3 linked regions of the Macaca fascicularis genome follow. The protein of the gene in region 3 binds, or shares a complex with, the protein of the main gene of each other region. Links are inferred from orthologs where the notes say so. Each region holds a gene or a part of one and is shown on either strand. Other genes may lie near its edges. The genes, in order: RBM22, CTNNBL1 and BCAS2.

Region 1 (6,741 bases), on a different chromosome or scaffold from region 3:
TGCCATACAATATGGATGCTGGCCTTAAACATTTCTACCTGAGAAGTACATCTTCACTGCCATGATTTAAACACTTGACTCTCAATGTATAGTTGAAGTCAAAGTAAGGTCAGACTACTAAAGGGTGTGTATGTTTTGGTTAAGACTGCCAAGCATCTGTATTAGGAGTTCTTAAATTTGGGATTAGTTAACCCTACCCCCTAAAAAATAATATATGTGCTTTCTCTGGAGCTAGGTCCATAGCTTTAATCAGATTCTCAGTGGAATACAATACCCCAAATGTGTTAAGAATCATTGACCTAGAGAGGGGTAATCATGTGTCCCTTTCTAGGGGGCAGGAGGGGGCGGATCATGTCAAGAGTTTTTATTTATAAGGAAAGTTTGGCATCCTAGATGGCCTAATGGCTTTTAGGAGGCTAGGAATTCCTTTTGTCATACAGTAAATCTCTTGGTATTAGGTCTATTTTGGTAATTGTATTTTGGTAGAAACCATAGTTTCTAGTTCAAAAGGCACTTCAGAATGTGTATCTAGGACTTTAATATGTAGCTATTCTTGGAAGATACCATTTTTTCACCTTTGTTTCACCTTTATGCCTTGTTTTTTTCTTGAATCATAGACATGAGAAGCCTACAGATCCAGATGACCCCCTTGCTGATCAGAATATTAAAGATCGATATTACGGAATCAATGATCCTGTAGCTGACAAGCTTCTAAAGCGGGCTTCAACAATGCCTCGGCTGGACCCACCAGAGGATAAAACTATCACTACACTATATGTTGGTGGTCTAGGTGATACCATTACTGAGACAGATTTAAGGTTTGTGGGTATAAGTTAAAGAGTTATTTTTGCCTTTAACTGCCCTGGGATAATTTATTTGCAAAAACTGCAAGGATGATCATTCTGTACAAAATCCATTTTTCTTTAGTCTCTCTACTGTTAGTATCATGCTGACTGGAATTTTTGTAAAATTGTCCTTTATGGTGCCACAGTAATAATGTGCTTATCTGGCTGGGCACAGTGCCTCATGCCTGTAATCTCAACACTTTGGGAGGATCTCTTGAGCCGAGGAGTTTGAGACCAACCTGAGCAACATAGTGAGACCCCATCCCTCTTAACAAATCAAAAAAATTAGCCGGGTGTGGTGGCTTGTGCCTGTAGTCCCAGCTGTTTGGGAGACTGAGGCAGGAGGATGGCTTGAGCTTGGGAGATCAAGGCTACAGTGAGCTGTGATTGCGCCACTGCACTCTAGCTTAAGCAACAGAGTGAGACCCTATCTCAAAACCAAAGCACAAAAAGTGCTTATCCATCCTGGCGTATGGTAATAATGACACAGAATTCTATTTGACCTAACAGCCAGGTTTTAAAGGATGGCACGCATCCAAGTATGATTAATTATGTAGAGGAGGGAGAGCTTTGTGATGATAAAACTCTTATGGTTTAAATTGTTGGCTTTTTAAAGAGACTGGCATTTGATACATTTGTATTATTTTTGGCTTGTATTATGCTTGGCTAGATGAGACATCTGGGCAGATAGTAATGGAAATTACCTCTTCCAAAGAGATAAAGTGGAGAAGAAACTCCTGTAAGTTTATAACCTGCCCTTGGTAGCCTGTCTCCGTTAAACCCTATCTGAGTGAGCTAGACAACCCCCAGGGGTTGGCAGACTTTTGCTGTAAGAGGCTGGATAGTGAATATTTTAGGCATTGTGGGCCACATGCAGTCTCTGTCACATATTCTTGTTTTAAACACTCTTGGCTCATGGGCCTTGAGAGCTGTAGTTTGCCAACCCCTTATCTAGGATTTAGGAACTTTAAGGAACCTATTAGAACTCCCTTTCCTCCATGGGGAAAAAACCCTGAGATGTTTGAGAACCTTTATTTACTCATTTCTCTTTCCTTCTCTCAATAAGCAGCACCCACATTAGGACAAGATATGGGAGGGAAGACCTGAGGGTAGTTAGGTAGATAACCTTGGGGCCCACCTGCCTAGTGGTGTGTCACTGAAAGTTAATCCATTTTCAGTCTCTTGGGAACATCTTTGTTCACTCCCATTTTCATTTTTTTTCTGCCTGTATCCCTTCAGAAATCATTTCTACCAGTTTGGAGAGATCCGGACGATCACTGTTGTGCAGAGACAGCAGTGTGCTTTCATCCAGTTTGCCACAAGGCAAGCTGCAGAAGTGGCTGCTGAGAAGTCCTTTAATAAGTTGATTGTAAATGGGCGCAGACTGAATGTGAAATGGGGAAGGTGAGAATTAAACTATTTTTAAGTGACATTTTGCTCACATTTTTAAGAAACTATGTCATTGTCTGGAGACTAGGAGGCTATTGATTAACAGGCTTAAATGAATAGGATCTTTAAAGAGATCTTTCAAAAGTCACTCTCTGTTTGATACTTGATTCCTGTGGATGTTGGGAGAACCCTGCTTTGGAAATGTATTCAGGGGTTTGTTGTATAATCTGCTCCTTTGAAGTTTCATGTTTTTGTGACTAGCTATTATAGGCCAGGTATAATAGCCAGGGCATGAAAGGTGAGTTTCAGGGTTTATAAATGAATTAGACCTAGATTCTGCCTTTGGAGGCTGATTGTCCAATGGAGAAGATAAAACAAGGAAGAATCGCTATTTTAAGTTTAAAAGTGATGATTGCATAAGAGAGACACAGGCGAAAGACTCAGTTCAAAGGGGGAACATGTCTCCGACTTGGAACCAGGGAAGAGATGGCTAATAGCAGCATCTGCCTTTGTGGAGAGCTCCCTATGTGGTAAGCACAGTGCTAAACATGTATGTGTTGCCTCTTCTGGTCCTTATGATAGTTCTAGCAGGTTTTGAACCCAGGTCTTTTCTGGTGTCAAAACCTTTGCTCTTATTCACTGTGCACAGTGGCATTTATGGGAAAAGTGTGTGCTGAGGAGGAGGTAGGGCAAAGGAACTCCATTGGACTGAGGAATTTAGGAAGCAGACGTGTGAGATAAGGTGGGCCAAAGTGCCAACTGTATGCATGTGTGTTTCCCAGATCCCAAGCAGCCAGAGGAAAAGAAAAAGAGAAAGACGGAACTACAGACTCTGGGATCAAACTAGAACCTGTTCCAGGATTGCCAGGAGGTGAGTGCAGACTTCCTGCTGACTTCAGAAGCTCCGTCTGCCCTGATGTTCCTATTTTGGAAGACGGGACCCAGGTCTTGTTCTCGTTGCCACTCTGCTCTCCCAATAGGACCTCTGAGAATGTAAAGGTGGTAAAAACTGTTGCACAGTTGTTCTCCCCTCTATGTGTTGACTATGTTCTCTCCTCCAGCTCTTCCTCCTCCTCCTGCGGCAGAAGAAGAAGCCTCTGCCAACTACTTCAACTTGCCCCCAAGTGGTCCTCCAGCTGTGGTGAACATTGCTCTGCCACCGCCCCCTGGTATTGCTCCACCTCCTCCCCCAGGTAACTTCCATCTTCCTTCTTAGCCCAGAGAAATCCTTGTGAAAGTTCTGTCTCATAAACGTCACCATCACGTTCAACACGTCCAAATCCTGTGAGTTTGCTCTGTAGAAGTCTATAAGTAAAGTTGATCTGTTGGGATTTCTGATATTTTTTTTTCTCCTGCTCTGCCAAGGAGAAGAAAGGGGCCAGTTTTCTAAAGATCCGAGTATATGTGTCATCAGAGTAAGATTATTAGATTACAAAGATCTATCACCAATTTGTTCCCTTTTCTAAACTGAATGCTAATGGATGCCCTAGAGCACTATTGCTCAGTGTGGGCTGTGAGTGGGTGTCATTTTACAAAGTGTTTATCATCTGTCTGCCACCAGATCAGGAGCTTGTGCCGAAATGTAAATCAGTGAACCCCTTCCTTCATTGAGAAAGTCTTGTTACCAAAAAAACTGTCAGATGAACTAAACTCTGCCTGATCATATGATTTACATTCTGACTCAAGCTCTTTGTCTTTTCAGTGGCCAGAAATAGGTGGAAGACTGGCACTTTGTATAGCACTGCTCTAGACAGCGTTAACAGTGGAAGGAAATCACAGGTAGCCAGTTCTCCTGTGGCAGAGAGCCCATACTCTGAAGTGAATCTGGTTTCTGAACCCCCTCCATCCTGGTGTCAGGCATTAAGGTTAATGATGACACAGTCTTGCCATCAGCCTGATTTCTTCCTTATCTCCCAAATCCTGACTGACTCCTGTCTGGTAGGATTTGGCGTGTTGGATACATAGCAGAGACTCAGACGACATACTAGGCGATACCTTGTGTGCTCTGGAGTTTTTTGGACTTGGCGGGGAAAGGTTTCTAAAACCAAGGAAATAACAGGTGGAAGCAAGTTTTGTGAACTGACATTTGCTTAAGCCCGGTGTCAACCTTGATTTATGTGTAGATGGTTTTAACCTTAGCAAGATTGAGAGGTTTGAAAGGTTATCAAGGAAACTGCAAGCCTAACACATTTGTTCTTTCGTATCTGCAGGTTTTGGGCCACACATGTTTCACCCAATGGGACCACCCCCTCCTTTCATGAGGGCTCCAGGACCAATCCACTATCCTTCTCAGGACCCTCAGAGGATGGGAGCTCACGCTGGGAAACACAGCAGCCCCTAGCACCTTGTCACCACTCTGGGGCTCTGTGGAAGAAAGGGCACTTAAAACTCCCAGTAAATCTTGGAATAAATATATTTGTCCTTCCCTTGTAGTTTCCATGGTAGCTGAATGTGCTCAGATGTGGGCATTCGGAGACTGACAGCCATGCTTTCCTACACATGTTCAAAGGATTGATGGACCGTAAATAAGCTGCCGTTAACACATCTGGTTACTGCTATAACACGACTAATAAAGCCTAATGCCTGTTCCCCTTACCTGTGTGGGGGACAAGCAGATGAGTGAATTGGAATGTCCAGCAGAGTTACCATCCCAATTATATGTTCATTTTGTATATTTTTTGGGCGGGGGAATAATTGACCTGCGGTAAAAAAAACCTTTGACCATTTTTATGTCCATTGAGTATTTTCCTTTTCATCCTGTTAAAAAAAAAAGATAACTAGTACTAATCATTGGAGTGGCCTAAGTGTGATTTAACTCTTTGGAAGTCACACCCTCAGAAAGATGAGTAGAAACCAGCACCAGCACAGCCCAGATCTTTTCTTTCCTCTCCTTTTCCTCGTTTATTCCTAAAGGAATCTGACCATTTTAAGTCTCTACGGCCCAAAAAAAAGACAAAACTAAAAATTCCTTTTTATTCCTGTCAACTGGATGGAAACAAATTTAATGGAGCTGTGTACCATTGAAGAAACCTGGTGTCTGGCATGAAATTACTGTAAAGAACTTCCTGTGAAACACGTTCTTTAACAAATGAAAAGCATTGGAGCGTGTGAATGAAAGACTTGTGACCTCCTGCTGGGACTCTGATAGTCGTCAGCATTCACCTTCGTGTGTCTTCAGTGTCTCATTGTCATCCCTGCTTCTGTTTGGTCTTAGAGTGTTTGGATATAACTGAATTGTAGATGGTAAAGGAAATTTGATGTGTTTTTGTTTTTAAATAATTAAAACGGGTCAATTTTTGAAATGTTGTCATGGGTTTATTTCTAGATTCCTCTTTATCCTTTGGTAGCTGAACTCGAGGTCAGTGGAAGTTATTTAATAGAAATGAGTTATATATTGTAAATTTTTTAAATGTTGCTTTAGACTTTTGATTATATCCATTCCATGATGATTTACTTATTTTACTATTTTTTTACCTCAGCCTATTCCTGGGTTAGATTCCATGATGATTTAAAAGGCCCAGACCTTTTTAGTACTTACTTCAAAGGGTGATTGTGAGGTTGAAATAAGATAGTGCACAGAAACACTTAGCATAGATCCTGGTGTATGGTGGTTGATAAAGGGTAACTTTAAGAAGTCACCCAGCTGGGTGCATGCTGATAGTGCCAGCTACTTAAGAGGCTGAGGTGGGAGGATTGCTTGAGGCCAGCAGTTCAAGGCCAACCTGGGCAACATGGTGAGATCCTGTCTCTAAAAAATAAAATTTAAAAGGTCATCCTTAGGCAAGTCATTTTAAAAGGAAACATTTATTATAAATTCATTTTTGCTAAGGCAACTTTTTTTTTTTTGAGATGGAGTCCTGCTCTGTCACTAGGCTGGAGTGCAGTGGTGTGATCTCAGCTCACTGCAACCTCTACCTCCTGGGTGCCTCCTGGGTTTAAGCGATTCTCCTGCCTCAGCCTCCTGAGTAGCTGGAATTACAGGCATGCGCCACCACACCTAGCTAATTTTTATATATTCAGTAGAGATGCGGTTTCACCATGTTGGCCAGGATGGTCTCCATCTCCTGACCTCATGATCCACCCACCTCAACCTCCCAAAGTGCTGGGATAACAGGCGTGAGCCATGGTGCCTGGCCATTTCCTTAAGCCAATTTTATGCTACTTTTATCTAAAATGTTTACTTCCAAGAAGGACATGCCCCATATGGCACCCTGTTTTAGATTTGCAGAATTTTTGTTTTTCTCTAGAGAACTTAAATTGCCTTTTTTTTTTTAAGATTTAAAAATCTATACATAGAAATTTTCATTTTATTGCTAGTAATGTCAAATGTGAAGCAATGTAGGATACTTCCAAGTATTTTTGTACCCTTTTGGGTCTTTTTTGATTGCCTGCTTTTGAGCATGTAAAGGATTTTTAGCCAATTTGTAAATGAGATGTGAATCTTATGGATAGCATTTTAATAACTGCTAGATTCAATGATTTACATCTCCACATATACATGCATACA
Region 2 (6,741 bases), on a different chromosome or scaffold from region 3:
TGGGAAATTTTATTCGCGAATCCTTGATTTTGATAGGGATGCTTACTCCTTGGCTTTTCACCTTCATGTTTTGATTTTCGTTAATATGAAACCATTTTTCTTAAAGTGAAACATACCACAGATTGCATTAAGCCCTGACTATTATGCTGAATTTCTTGAAACAAGGCTTCAAGCTTGCCCCGGGAGCATACCTTACATTTAGCACATGTAAGACCTTGCATTTATAGATCTTTTAACCTAAGATGGTCATACTTGGTCGACCTCCTGAAACTCTGTAGGCTGCACTTAGCTTGATGAGGGAGACGTGCACAGAAAACTGAAATGATGCTGAATATTGCTTGATTAGGTGCAACTCTTCCTCTTTAAGTACAAAACCAGTGTCTAAACAGATCTGTGAATGGTGGTAAGGTGACGGAAGTGTTAGTTCCAAAATAAATACTTCCCTTGTCTTTTCCAAGTACAGAAATTCTTTGTCATTTCAAAAACACAGATAGGTAGCAAAGGTTGCTGCTGATTAATAGTCATTGTTTACATGCCTGCATTTTAAGGATCATGGACACCATAAATAAAAACACATCACTGAGACTCGCTCCTCTCTGTGCACCTTCATCCAAGGGGCAGTGATAATGGTGAGATATTTAAGTCTCACTACCGAAGCAACAGTGAGGACAGCCATGAAAAATAGTCTGTGCAGTAGATGTGTCCCCTCTGAAACTCCCAAGTAGCAGACCATGCAGCAGGGAAAGAATTGTGGGTAGTAATTTGGGTGTTAAAATATTAACACATTTTTGCATATTTAATGTGGTTTCCTTTTTAAATAATAGGCAGATTATGGCATGCAAGCAGATAGGTTTATGATTTCAAATTAAATTTTAAGCATTAAAAAAATCCAGAAGGAACTACTTTGTGATAAATATATTCAGTTAATCAAGAATTGCTTTCTTTTCAACTTCTCTGCTCATATATTAACTAATTTATAGCCTAATTTCATGATTGTAGCTTGTGCATTAAGCTTCATGGTGAGTTTTAGTCTTAAAAGTTCAAAACTCTCATTCTTCTAGTTCACATTTGAGTACTATGGGCGAGACATATATAATCTCTGGACTCAAAATGGGAAATCTTGGAAGTCTTTACCGAGGAGGTAACCTTAATACCTGGGCATTAAGAGTGTGAGAACCATTGTTTCAGTCTGTCACTTTACTTGGTTCTGGTCTCTTGAGAGCAGAGGCCGACGTTTTTCCCCTTAACTGCCTTTTCCCTTTCTAACTTCTCCTTCTCTCTAACTCAGATCGTAGTACTCGTGAAAAATTTGTCCTGGGGAAGAAAGCAAGACCTCTTAACATTTTTCTCATTTCTCCTATTTCCCCATAGGCAAAGATGCCTTTCGATGCCAACAAACTGTATTGCAGTGAAGTGCTGGCCATACTGCTCCAGGACAATGATGGTGAGGCGCCCTCTCAGTATTGATATTCTGTTAGGATAGGAGCCAGGCTTGTTTCAGATCATGACAGCAAGCTCTCTTGCCTTTGGCATCCCCTTGCTCTCCCTCTCGCTCCCTGTGCTGCTTTTGTACTCTGTCAAGCTGTATTGATTTTGTTTGCTGATGTATCAGTGTTAGACGGCTGTAAAATCTGACAGTTAGGTTCATTTTTTTTTTCTTCCTCTATTTTTTCCCCCTTTTAGAAAACAGGGAATTGCTTGGGGAGCTGGATGGAATCGATGTGCTTCTTCAGCAGTTATCTGTGAGTAATTCTTATGCTTCCTGTCTGCTCTAAGATACATGGCTGGCTTTGAATGGGAGGTGGAGCTGGAAATTGTGGGAAGGAATGAGCCATGTGCTGCAAGCCATATGGCGTATGTTGGCAGGTTTGAGGGTTATATGGAGGTACATGGTTTGCCTCCTTTTCTTAGTCATTTGCTCTTTATGACCAGACATCACTGTGTGTCAGATATGAATTTTCTTCGTCTTCTGATATGATATTGTCAACTCAAAAAAGATGTGCCTCCTGCTTAAGTGTGTATGTTCTGGGCCAGGCATACCAAATTATTTTCATTTGACCCACTCCCAAGATTGTTCACCAACCTTCCTTTCAGTCTGCTGTGAAAATGGAGTATGTTCATTTAGGATCTGAATAAGCTCAAGGAGTCCAAGTTCCACTGCAGTGGGGTGGGGGTCAAGGGGAGGATAGGGGAGGATGTGGTGCTGAAGGCTGGAGTGAGAACTTGGAAACTGCCATTTTCTCACTGTAAGAAATGTAAATCCAGTTGAAATGTTATTCTGCTGGCATTCTGAAAATACTGTTAAGATTTCCTCTTACAAGTTTCATCTGTGTTATTCTAAAAACAGGACTGAAAATAGATCATTTGGATAAAATCTTGAGAGTGTTGGGAGAGTCTGAGATGTCAGTTTGCATACAGCTTCCATCTTGGTGCCAGCAGCCTGAGTGGCTTGGCCTCCACCCCAAAAATAGAGCTTTGAAATGTGAATCTGTTTCCAGTTCTGGGAAGGTGCTTAGTCCTTTTCCTGTGAGACTATTGATCTTCTCCTAGTAGACTATATGGGTATGCATATACTGTTTAAAGGCTTCTCTTAACATGCCTTACATCTCTGGCAAAAAGAAGACTTCTGCTGTAAGCACTTCCCATGAATTAAAACCCCAACTCCCCTGTGAGGGAATTCAGTGGCCTTGATTGTCAGGAAACGCTTCCTTATATTGAGCCATGTTTCACCCCCCTGGATTGTGGTTGCTTTTAGAAGGGGAAGAAATGAGATATGGTTGGGTTGGGCAAGTGGAGGGCTTTGAGGGTAGTTGGCAAAGTTGTTTCTCATCCTGGATAATGATTTCAGGGGTGTTCACTTCATTCATTTAGTTTTATATGTCCTTTATGGAGTTGTTCTGTATCTGTGTTATATTTCACAATAAAAAGGTTTTGGTTTTTATTTGGGTTTTGGTTTTTTAAAAAATCTGCTTGCCTGAAACTGTCAATTACTGATGGACCCAGTGGTCAGTTGAGTGTTTTGGCTTTTTTTTTTTTTTTTTTTGCATTTATTTAATATATGTGAATTATTTAGTTTCTCTAAAATGGAAACTGATGAGAATTTTGTTTGGTGAGCTTCTGTTTCCTCAACCGTAGAGTTATGACCCACAGGTTTTAGAAATTGTTGGATGGAGGCTCATGAAAAAACGTTCTCTTAATAGTTCTGTGCTTTGTTCTGTTTTTGCTTGACAGGTGTTTAAAAGACACAATCCCAGCACGGCTGAGGAGCAGGAGATGATGGAGAATCTGTTTGATTCCCTCTGCTCCTGTCTAATGCTTAGTTCTAACCGTGAGCGCTTCCTGAAGGGCGAGGGTCTTCAGCTGATGAATCTCATGCTCAGGTATGTTTTGAATGTCCTAGTTTTCCCACCTTTTTTGCCTGACTTTTCACTGTTAGCCTGAATTCAAGAGCATGTAGCTATGGTCATTTATTCTGTTGGGTTTCCTAGACTTTACCCTGAAGAGTAAAGTCTTCAAGCATGAGGATGTGTTTGTGTAGGTATGTGGTCTTTCCTAAAGTTAGAGTAGACGAATAAAAAGTATATTGTGTTCTGTTTGTGCCCTACTGTGGTGGTTGCTAATATGTCCGCTCCATTGAAAGACATTGGTGTTTTTCCTCTCCTTCCCATAGTGTGTTAGTTTTGGGGAAATCTAGCCATTACTTCTAAACTTGAACTGATTTTCTGTATATATCACATAGACCTATCTATGCCATATGTTTTTCTGTATTTTTATTGAAAGCAGTATATCATTTGTATTTTTCACTCCTCATTCAGTAATGAGTTGTACATGTGCTGTATGCCTAGCTTAGGAAATATGAAAATGTGCAAGATAGTTCCAGAAACTTTTATTTATAGTACTTGCCTTGTATGTCTTATTATTTATACTCTAATTCCTGAAATTGGATCTTATATTAGTTTCACAGTTATTTTGTAGAATCCTAAAGTTAGAAGCAAAAAGGGAAGAGGAAGCTTATATTTATAATTCTTGAGACCCTGTCTAGGAAGGGGAGTAGAGAAGTGTGTGGGGGAAGGCTGAGAGGATAACCAGAGTGTGCCATAGGGTCAAGGGACTTTAAAAAAAAAAATGAGCATGTTTATGTGGTTGGAAGATTCTAGTCATTATGAAATTGTGCCCTACAGAAGGAGGAAGTTGAGATTTAAAGAAAAAAACAAGAAAGAAAGAAATGGAGCCAGAGTCTGCTGTCTTAAAACTTCAAGTATACTGAAAGCCCTGTTGAACTAAGATATTTCTTTGGAAATGTTTTTCAGAAATGTGATATATATTTGTTAAATAGAATTTAGATACTAAAATACAAAACTGCTATTAAAACATTGACAAGGTACTATGTTAAGTGCTGGGCATACACAGAAATACCTAAGACAGAATTTCTGTCTCCACAAAGTTAGAAAAACAGTTCTGTGACCTAAACACAGCCTGTCTTTGGGTGTATATTTTCTTTTAGTCTTTTTTCTATAATTTTTAACAACTTTTTAAGCCTGCCACACATACGATTTTCTTTATTGCGACATTTCAAACATAGCATGCTGTTTCCCATGCTGTGAATAATCTTCATGGGAGTTTTCAGTAACTGCATCATGGCCTCCAAGGGACTGTGGCTTAGTTAGTATTCTTCTGTTGTTGGCGTTGAGGATATTTCCAGTGTTTTGCTATTATAACAAATTCTACAGTGACCATTTTTGTGTTTAAAAGGATGTTAGGATTATCCAGGTACAGTATGTTCTCCCTTAACATCATCAATAACATTCTTGGAAACCACAACTTTAAGCGAAATGATGTATAATGAAACCAGTTTTTCTGATCATTGTTACAACGGTATTATTTGAGGATCTGACCTGCTATATCCCGTTTTACTTAAAGTTGCCATTTCCAAGTCTATCTGTGATGTTAAGTGATGACTTGTTGTGTATTATTTCTAAAACATCTTAAAAGGCTTCTGAAGGGCTGGAGGCACAGTAGACCTCTTCATTTGTCCAGTGCGTACCAGACCTTGCATTGACCAGAAGTCTTCCTTTAAGGAATTGCTTTTAAAAACAATTTTTTTTTAAAGTGCAGAGAGGGGCATGAGAAATTACTCAGAGGCCTTTTGTGTTTAGCTGATTTTTGCTAGTTTTACTCTCTTGAGTCTTTTGTTTATCTCCCTTACCCTTCTAATTGCTTGTCCTTTTGTTGAAATGACCCACCTTCTCTCAAGTAAATAGCATAAATAGAAGATGCATTTGGCTTCTTGAGTCTTCTAACCTTAACACAATGGTCTGAAGAGACTTTTCCTTAAGCTTCTTAAAGGTCTGAATTGCCAGTGTCTTTGGATGGTTGAGTGCAAATATGAAGTGATATATTTCTGTAGCATATGGCTTGGTATTGCGTAGCAGTGGGGAGCTGAATAAATAACCAGAAACATGGATTATTCAAACAGAAATGCTGAGATTCAGGGAGGCTAATTAAAGGAGAGCTCCAAAAGACTTAGAAACTGTACCTCTCTAGATCTCCTAACTTTTCATTTTTGAATGCTGAAGTTGCTGTTATATTCATTCTTTTGCATTAATTAGCCATATTAGCAGATTCAGCATTTCCTTTTTTCTCTTTCCCATACTCTTTGTTCTGTGTTATTTTTCTTCTTCAGACTCCCAAATGGAAAGTTTAATTGGGATGGAATATTTTTTTCCATACTATAGTCACCCTTTCTGATCTTTAGTAAGAGCTGCCAGGTGGCTCTTTGTCTAGAGAGAGCCTATTCAAGACTAAGAAGCTGTAACACTAGAGGTTCAGGAAAGTTTCTGTGGTTCCATTGCCCCTAAATACAAATCTTTACTTTGACTCAGTCATTCATCAGACAGTTGTGAAATGCCACGTGGAGAGGTGGCAGTATGGAGGAGGGTGGAAGAATGGGCCTGGGACTTGTAAGTGTGGGTTTGGAACATGCTGTTTCACTTATTAGCTCTGGATATTTGGTGAGTTACTTTAACCTTTGTGACCTTCTCATTCTCAGTTTTTCATCTGAAAACTGGCACTAATAATACCATATTTACAGGGATTTTGACAGAATTAAACTCTATAAAGTATCTGGGAGAATTCTATAGTTGCAAAACACTGCTAAGGTACTATGTTAACTTTCTATGTTAAGTGCTAGGTTTATACAGAGATGCACAAAACAGGGTTCCTGCCTCTAAGAAACTCAAAGTCTAGTGAGGGAAGCACACATTAAATAACTATGATATAATTTAATATGGTGACTCTTCAGAAGAACAGTTACTTTTGCATGTATGTACTCAGTGAATTTTTTTCCTTTCTGATTATTGATAAGGAAAGATCACAAACAAGATACTCATTGATACATACTCCCTCCTTCCCACATATGCCCTCCTTCCCACACATATGTGCACACACACACAAGCATATGTTCGCTACCAATTTAATATTTTTATCTACTTTATTGAGGCATAATTTTTATACAACAAAATGTATGCATTTTAAGTGTACAGTTTTGACAGATGTTTCCACCGCCACAGTGAAGATGTAGAACAGCACTATCAAGTCGAAATGTAATGTGAGATAGGTAATTTTACATTTTTAGTAGCTACCACATTTAAAGGGTTAAAAGAAACAAAAATAATTTTAATAATGTATTTAACACAGTCAAAAATTATTTCAACATGTAATCAATATAACAAAATTATTAGT
Region 3 (7,362 bases):
TATTTTTTAGTGTCCACCATGTGCCATGCACTGTGGTATATGTATGCATATCATCTCAACCAATCCTTAAATCAACCTTATGAGATAGATATTTACATCTGCATTTTACTAATAAAGAAACTAAAGCTGGGTGCTGTTACTCACGTCTGTAATCCCAGCACTATGGGAGGCCAAGGCAGGTGGATCATTTGAGGTCAGGGGTTCGAGACCAGCCTGGCCAACATGGTGAAACCCTCTACTAAAAATAAAATAAAAATAAAAATTAGCTGGGCGTGGTGGCAGGTGCCTGTAATCCCGGCTACTTGGGAGGCTGAGTCACGAGAATTGCTTGAGCCCAGGAGGTGGAGGTTGCAGTGAGCGGAGATCGCACCACTGCACTCCAGTCAGGGTGACAGAGTAAGACTCCATCTCAAAAAAAAAAAGAAAAAAACACAAATTCAAAGTTGTTAAATAAGTTGCCCAAAGTTATACAACACAGAACTGAAGCCAGGACTTTTATGGACACAAAGTTGGTTAGTCCTCCAGATGGAAATTTCATCTCAGTAGGATTATATAGCTATTTATTTTATTAATAAAAATTTTCTATTAAGTGTACCAGAGCCACTTTTCAGCTCTGAGGATAAGGGACTTTATATATATATGCCTAGATGAGACTCTTTTTATTGCCCTAGAAATGCTGAAATTTTTGCTCTAATTAAATTAGACTCAAAATATGAACATTCCTTGAACATATACCACTTAGTCATCCAGACCTTTAATATCTAAAGTAGTAGTAGTAGTGATTGGAAAGAGAAATTTTTCAGTGATGGTGCAATGTTGTGTGTGTGTGTGTGTTTTAAGACGGAGTTTCGCTCTTTTTGCCCAGGCTGGAGCGCAATGGCACGATCTCGGCTCACTGAGACCTCCGCCTCCTGGGTTCAAGCAATTCTCCTGCCTCAGCCTCCCGTGTAGCTGGAATTATAGGTGCCCACCACCACACCTGGCTAATTTTGTATTTTTTGTAGAGACGGGGTTTCACCATGTTGGCCAAGCTAGTCTCGAACTCCTGACCTCAGGTGATCCACCCACCTTGGCCTCCCAAAGTGCTGGGATTACAGGCATGAGTCAGTGCACCGGGCCTGTTTTTTTTTGTTTGTTTTGTTTTTTCAAATTAATGGGCAAATTCAAGTTCAGATGGTGCACTTTTCATTTATTAATGCTATAGCAAATGTCAGTTTGTTTTCTTCAGTTTCTGCTGATGGTTTCAACTGGCACAGAAAGTATTTATTCAGCCTTACAAAACTGTTAAGTTGTATTGTGATACAGTTTATTGACTTGCACAGTATTTCATTACAACCCATTCAGGTATGCATGAACCTGAAGCAGAACACCATTTAAGACTGGTGCTGTATAATATAATTCCTACAGATGTGGGTCCAGGGAATAGAACTGAGCCTTTTTTTAAATGTTAAGCAGGTTACCCTAATGGGGCTTCTACTAGACATCTCTCCATTTGGTCTCTTCTTACACTGCAACCCAGCGGGAACAGTTAATAATTGGATGTTTATAAAATGGGGGTAAAAGGGTTTACTATGATGGATCCTGGCTATCCCTTTAGGAGGAGACCTTTGCGCTTCAGGAATGCTGTCTTCATCTTTGCAGCCTGAAGCTGCTTCATTTCCTTAGGTCTGTTGTGTTTTGTTTCTGTAAAGTGTTATGAATTCTGGATATTTTTGTAAAAGAATCAAGATTTGTATAAAATGTTGTTTACAGATCTTTTAATGAATAAATACATAAAAACCCCACAGATCCCTTGGAGAATTCTTAAGATGTAAAGATCTTTTATGTCACTTAAATCTACAGCTAGCACATTTACCTAATGGTACTTAAGTAATAAGAATTAGTCTTAGATTGATCAGGCTTAATAATGGAGGTCAACATTTCGAGGCTCTTGGCAGACAAAGCCTGGGTCTAGACCGCACACTGGGCAGGGTATATAGTCTGACAACTTTATTTGGTCTTTAACTGCTTAATCAAAGGGAGGCTGCTTAGTCCAGGAGCCATGAAGAAGACAAAGTGCATGGGCAGCAGCTTGAATGGTTTGGAGACAGGAGTGCCATTCTATTACCGTTTAAGTCCTAAAGCCAAAATGGCAGGATTTTTAAGGAACTGAGGTTCCTTTTGATACTCAGACCATAAAGCTTCACAATTTTAATTGGAGACTGGCGCCCAATTCTAGAGCCTCTTTAAGAATTGTACTTATCCAATGCAAAGGTTTTCAGGGTGGCGAGGGGGGAGGATAGTCGGGGTACAGCAAGGAAGTAAAAGAGGAACGACCCCGGGTGCAGTGGCTTACGCCTGTATTCCCCACATTTTAGGAGGCCTAGGCGAGAGGATAGCTTGAGGCCAGCCTTGGCAACATAGGAAGGCTCCAACTCTACAAAAAAATTTTAAAATGGCCGGGCGCTGTGGCTCAAGCCTATAATCCCAGCACTTTGGGAGGCCGAGGCGGGCGGATCACGAGGTCAGGAGATCGAGATCATCCTGGCTAACACGGTGAAAATACAAAAAATACAAAAAATTAGCCGGGCATGGAGGCGGACGCCTTGTAGTCCCAGCTACTAGGAGGCTGAGGCAGGAGAATGGCGTGAACGCAGGAGGCGGAGCTTGCAGTGAGCCGAGATCGCGCCACTGCACTCCAGCCTGGGCGACAGAGTGAGACTCCGTCTCGAAAAAAAAAAAAAAAAATTAAAAATTAGCCAGGCGTGGTGGTGTGCACCTCTAGGCCCAGCGGCTCAGGAGGCTGAGGTGGAAGGATCGCTTGGGCCTGGGGGGGTTGAGGCTGCAGTGAACTATGATCGCGCCACTGCACTCCAACCTGGGCAGCAGAACAAGAGCGTGTGTCCATAATAAAAAAGGAAAGAAGTCCGGCACAGAGGAAGAGAAGATTAAGGGGAGACGGTGGCAGTAAGCAGAGGTGGGAAATCAGTTATCTCTCCCCGTCAAATCCTGCAGCCAGTTCCCTCCGAAAGTGTTAAGGGGCTCCCGTTCCAGATATCAATGTTTTGGAGGAAACGAAAAGCCCTAACTTCAAATAGCCACCATTCGCTGGCAAAAAAAATACAGTAAGCAGAAGACAGGAAATTGAGGCCTTCCGCTGACGCAATGAAGCCAAGACTGACGTCACGTCCGCCCAAAACAAAGCAGCCCGGCAATTTCTAGATACCGGGCGGACCCGCCTTCAAAATTAGCAACTGAGCATGCGCGAACGTCAATATGCCGGGAACGTGATTACATCAGTGTCAGGCGCCGGCGTATCTAAATAGAACTCAGTTTACGCAAACGCAGAAAACGCAGGCAAACCTGAGGTCCTCGGAATGGCGGGCACGGGTTTGGTGGCCGGAGAGGTTGTGGTGGATGCGCTGCCGTATTTTGATCAAGGTTATGAAGCCCCTGGTGTGCGGGAAGCGGTGAGTGCGGGGTGTCTTTGTAGCTGACTCACTGTTCGCTGGCTCGGTACCGAAAGAAACATGTTACAATTTGCCGCTTCTACCCTGGCCCCAATTCTCTTTCTAAGGCTGCAGCGCTGGTGGAGGAGGAAACTCGCAGATACCGACCTACTAAGAACTACCTGAGCTACCTAACAGCCCCGGATTATTCTGCCTTTGAAGTAAGTATGTCTTGACCCCGGGTATGAACGAGGATTCCTGTGAACCTTTATTTTGGATTGAGAGCTTCAGCTACGTAAAAGTGATTTTTAAATTCCAGTTTTAACCATTGCCTGCATAGGTACCAGTCTGTTGAAAACAGCTAGATAGATAAGTCTTCTCCGAGGTTCTTATTCTAAGATCCATAGGAAGACTTTCTGGGACTCCACGACTCACTTAATGCAAAAATTTGTGGCCACAATTCTTTGAGATAGGATCCATGCGTAAATTCTCAAAGGGACCCTCTCCTGCCAAGAGTCACTCTACAGCAGGTGATCTAGAATTTTTTAGTATGTATAAGCCTAATTACCTAAGCTCTTTAGAACCACTGGAGAGTGGCGTATTAAAGTCTAGTTATTTACCAAACGTTTGTGGTATGACTGAAGGGACAAACCATATCCAAGTGTATACTACTCTTTTCTCAGCCTTCTCCTTTTTTCTATAATCTGTCCGATGTTTTTATTAACACAGTTCTGATTAATGTAGGCAAGAACTTTCCCTGATACGAATACTTTCCAAGTGCTAGGTGCCATTCTAGATTCTGAAATCATAGAGATAAAAATATCTGGGTTTTAAAAAAATATGTATTTTGCTGTATTTTAATTTTTCTTTTCTTTATTTAAGACAAGCATCGTCTCCAAAAAAAGATAGGGTTTCTGAATACAGAAAAATACAATACAATGAGGAGCTAGATATATAAAACAGAAAGTTTACAATAGTATGTATAAATGTGTAATAATATGTAAAGGACCTGTAGTGGAGGTATATATAAGGACAAGAGAATTAGAGAAAGGAGTGCCCATGCTTGCCTAGGGAGTCAGATGCTGTTCTACTGCACACAGTGAGTATGATACTATTTTAAATGTATAACCTTGAAGTACACCCAAGATTCTAGTTAGGGTCTAATTAGCTAAGTGAAATGTAAGTTATTTCTAAATTATTGGATTCAAGTATTTCAATATGTACAACTTGGAGGTTTTTTTCCCATTATACCTAATCGTTTATTTATGAAAGGATTGTATTATTAAAAGGCAGTATTTAGCTGGGTGTGGTGGCTCACACCTGTAATCCCAGCACTTTAGGAGGCTGAGGTGTGAGGATCACTTGAGACCAGCCTGTGCAGCATAGTGAGACCCTTTCTCTACAAAAGAAAAACTAAAAAATTAGCCAAGCATGATGGCATGCACCTGTAGCCCAAGCCACTCAGGAGGCTGAGGTGGAAGGATCACTTGAGCCTGGAAGTTCAAGGCTGCTACAGTGAGCCATGATAATACCATTGCGCTCCAGCCTGGCGACAGACTGAGATCCTGTCTCAGAGGGAAAAAAAAAAAAAGATATTATTTACATTAAAGTAACGTGAAAAAATAGTTAAGTTTGTTGTTTTTGTTTGAGACGGAGTCTTACTCTGTCACCCAGCCTGGAGTGCAGTGGTGCCATTTCTGCTCACTGCAACCTCCACCTTCCGAGCTCAAGTGATTCTCCTGCCTCAGCCTCGCGAGCAGCTAGGATTACAGGTGCCTGCCACCATGCCTGGCTAATTTTTGTATTTTCAGTAGAGATGGGGTGTCACCACGTTGGCCAGGCTTTTCTTGAACTCCTGGCCTCAAGTGATCCGCCCACCTCATCCTCCCAAAGTGTTGGGATACGGGGTGAACCACCACGCCCTGCCTTGGCTAAGTTTTAAGTAGAAGACATATGTTTCTATGAACGTGTTTTCCTATGCTTTTTCCAAATATTGTTACCTAGGTGTAGATGTTAACCACGTTAAGAACTAAGTACAGTGGCTCACACCTGTAATCCCAGCACCTTGGGAGGCTGAGGCGAGTGGATCACGAGGTCAGGAAATCGAGACCATCCTCTACTAAAAATACAAAAAATTAACTGGGCATGGTGGCGGGTGCCTGTAGTCCCAGCTACTCAGAAGGCTGAGGCAGAAGAATGGCCTGAACCCGGGAGGCGGAGCTTGCAGTGAGCCAAGATGGCGCCACTGCACTCCAGCCTGGGCGACAGAGCGAGACTCCATCTCATTAAAAAAAAAAAAAGAGAATTAAGTACAGTAATGCTTCTTGGACTGATTTCTGACGTTTTCAAATAACTGCATTCAATCACAGACTTCTTATAATACTTTTGCCAGTTTTTTTCCTTCTCTCAAATACCTTTGTAATTAGTTTACTGATTATTTAATTAGCAAACTCCTGGGTTCAAATGATTCTCCTGTAATTAGTTTACTGATTATTTAATCCTTTCTTTTTTTGAGACAGAGTCTTGCTCTGTCGCCTAGGCTGGAGTGCATGCAACTCCTTGGCTCACTGCAACCTCTGCCTCCTGGGTTCAAGCGATTCTCCTCCCCCAGCCTCCCAAGTGGCTGGGATTACAGGCATGCACTACCATGCCCAACTAATTTTTGTATTTTTAGTACAGACAGGGTTTCACCATTGTGGCCAGGCTGATCTCGAACTCCTGACCTCAAGTGATTCACCTGCCTCGGCCTCCCAAAGTACTGGGATTACAGGTGTGAGCCACCACACTTGGCATCCTTTCTTAGTAATAGTTGGTAATGTATACTGGGCTCACTGTCTTTCTTGGTGCACAAAACAGCTCTATAAACTATATAACTATGTTCACTATCCCCATTTTTTTAGCTGGGAAAACTGCAGCTTAGAAAGGCTCATTGACTAAGACCTTAACCATTCTTCAAACTGCCTTTGAAATTACTCTTTCATTAATTCACTTAACAACTATTTACGAAGGTCTATTCCATGCTGGATATTGGAGAACAGTATCGGCAGGGTCCATACTTATGAACCTTACAATCTAGAGTGTTGAGACGGACAATAAATAGATCAGAAAAATTGTTGATAAATGCTGCACAGAGAATGATAGTGATAAAGTGACTGGGTGACTCTAGGTTGGGTGGTTGAGGAAGGCCTCTCAAAGCTGAGATGAGACTACTCCATGAGCAGGGATTTCCCCCACCGACCCCGCCGCCCATGACTTAGCTCCATGAACACTGGCTTAGTCTTTGGAGAGAGCTGAGCTAAAATTCCAGATCTATCACTTACTGAGCATGTGAGTTAGTTAAGGGTTCCTCCTGTGCTGTATGGCTCAAGACTACTTATACATTTTTATACTGCCTCTTGTTTAATTATTAGCTGTTACTCTTTGTCACTGCAGAATTTTCTAGCTAAAATGCCTTGGTATTTTTTGCAGGAAACTAGATAACTACATTTTCTTAAGATTATGTGTAATTTAGCAGTAGCGCCTGCAAAATGCTTTCTCCAGAAAGAAATGCTTAATACAAATTTTTTTTTTTTTTTTTTTTTTTTTAGATGGAGTCTCACTCTGTTGCCAGGCTGGAGTGCAGTGGCGCGATCTTGGATCACTGCAGCCTCCGCCTCCCGGGTTCAAGAAGTTCTCCTGCCTCAGCCTCCCAAGTAGCTGGGATTACAGGCACGTGCCATCATGCCCAGCTAGTTTTTGTATTTTTAGTAGATACAAGGTTTCACCATCTTGGCCAGGATGGTCTCAATCTCTTGACCTCGTGATCCACCCACCTCGGCCTCCCAAAGTGCTGGGATTACAGGCGTGAGCCACCTCACCCGGCCTAATACAAAACTTTTAAACATTAATGCAGGCTTCTGTAAGGCCTTTGATACTTATTCTCTAGTCTAATTGT

The links.
Region 1: BCAS2 (region 3) and RBM22 share a complex: the UniProt entries of both Homo sapiens proteins name them as parts of the postcatalytic spliceosome P complex. The link is inferred for Macaca fascicularis from reciprocal best matches to the Homo sapiens genes BCAS2 and RBM22.
Region 2: BCAS2 (region 3) and CTNNBL1 share a complex: the UniProt entries of both Homo sapiens proteins name them as parts of the PRP19-CDC5L splicing complex. The link is inferred for Macaca fascicularis from reciprocal best matches to the Homo sapiens genes BCAS2 and CTNNBL1.

The regions. Positions count from the first base shown.
Region 1 is NC_088380.1:157,572,437-157,579,177, reverse strand, and holds the end of RBM22 (pre-mRNA-splicing factor RBM22), read left to right. Parts: intron 1-617; coding exon 618-818; intron 819-2,084; coding exon 2,085-2,249; intron 2,250-3,016; coding exon 3,017-3,105; intron 3,106-3,295; coding exon 3,296-3,427; intron 3,428-4,444; coding exon 4,445-4,575; 3' UTR 4,576-5,536; downstream 5,537-6,741. UniProt on the Homo sapiens protein: Required for pre-mRNA splicing as component of the activated spliceosome. Involved in the first step of pre-mRNA splicing.
Region 2 is NC_088384.1:93,894,223-93,900,963, forward strand, and holds part of CTNNBL1 (beta-catenin-like protein 1), read left to right. Parts: intron 1-1,371; coding exon 1,372-1,444; intron 1,445-1,683; coding exon 1,684-1,742; intron 1,743-3,231; coding exon 3,232-3,380; intron 3,381-6,741. UniProt on the Homo sapiens protein: Component of the PRP19-CDC5L complex that forms an integral part of the spliceosome and is required for activating pre-mRNA splicing.
Region 3 is NC_088375.1:119,786,052-119,793,413, forward strand, and holds the start of BCAS2 (pre-mRNA-splicing factor SPF27), read left to right. Parts: upstream 1-3,332; 5' UTR 3,333-3,356; coding exon 3,357-3,449; intron 3,450-3,556; coding exon 3,557-3,649; intron 3,650-7,362. UniProt on the Homo sapiens protein: Required for pre-mRNA splicing as component of the activated spliceosome. Component of the PRP19-CDC5L complex that forms an integral part of the spliceosome and is required for activating pre-mRNA splicing.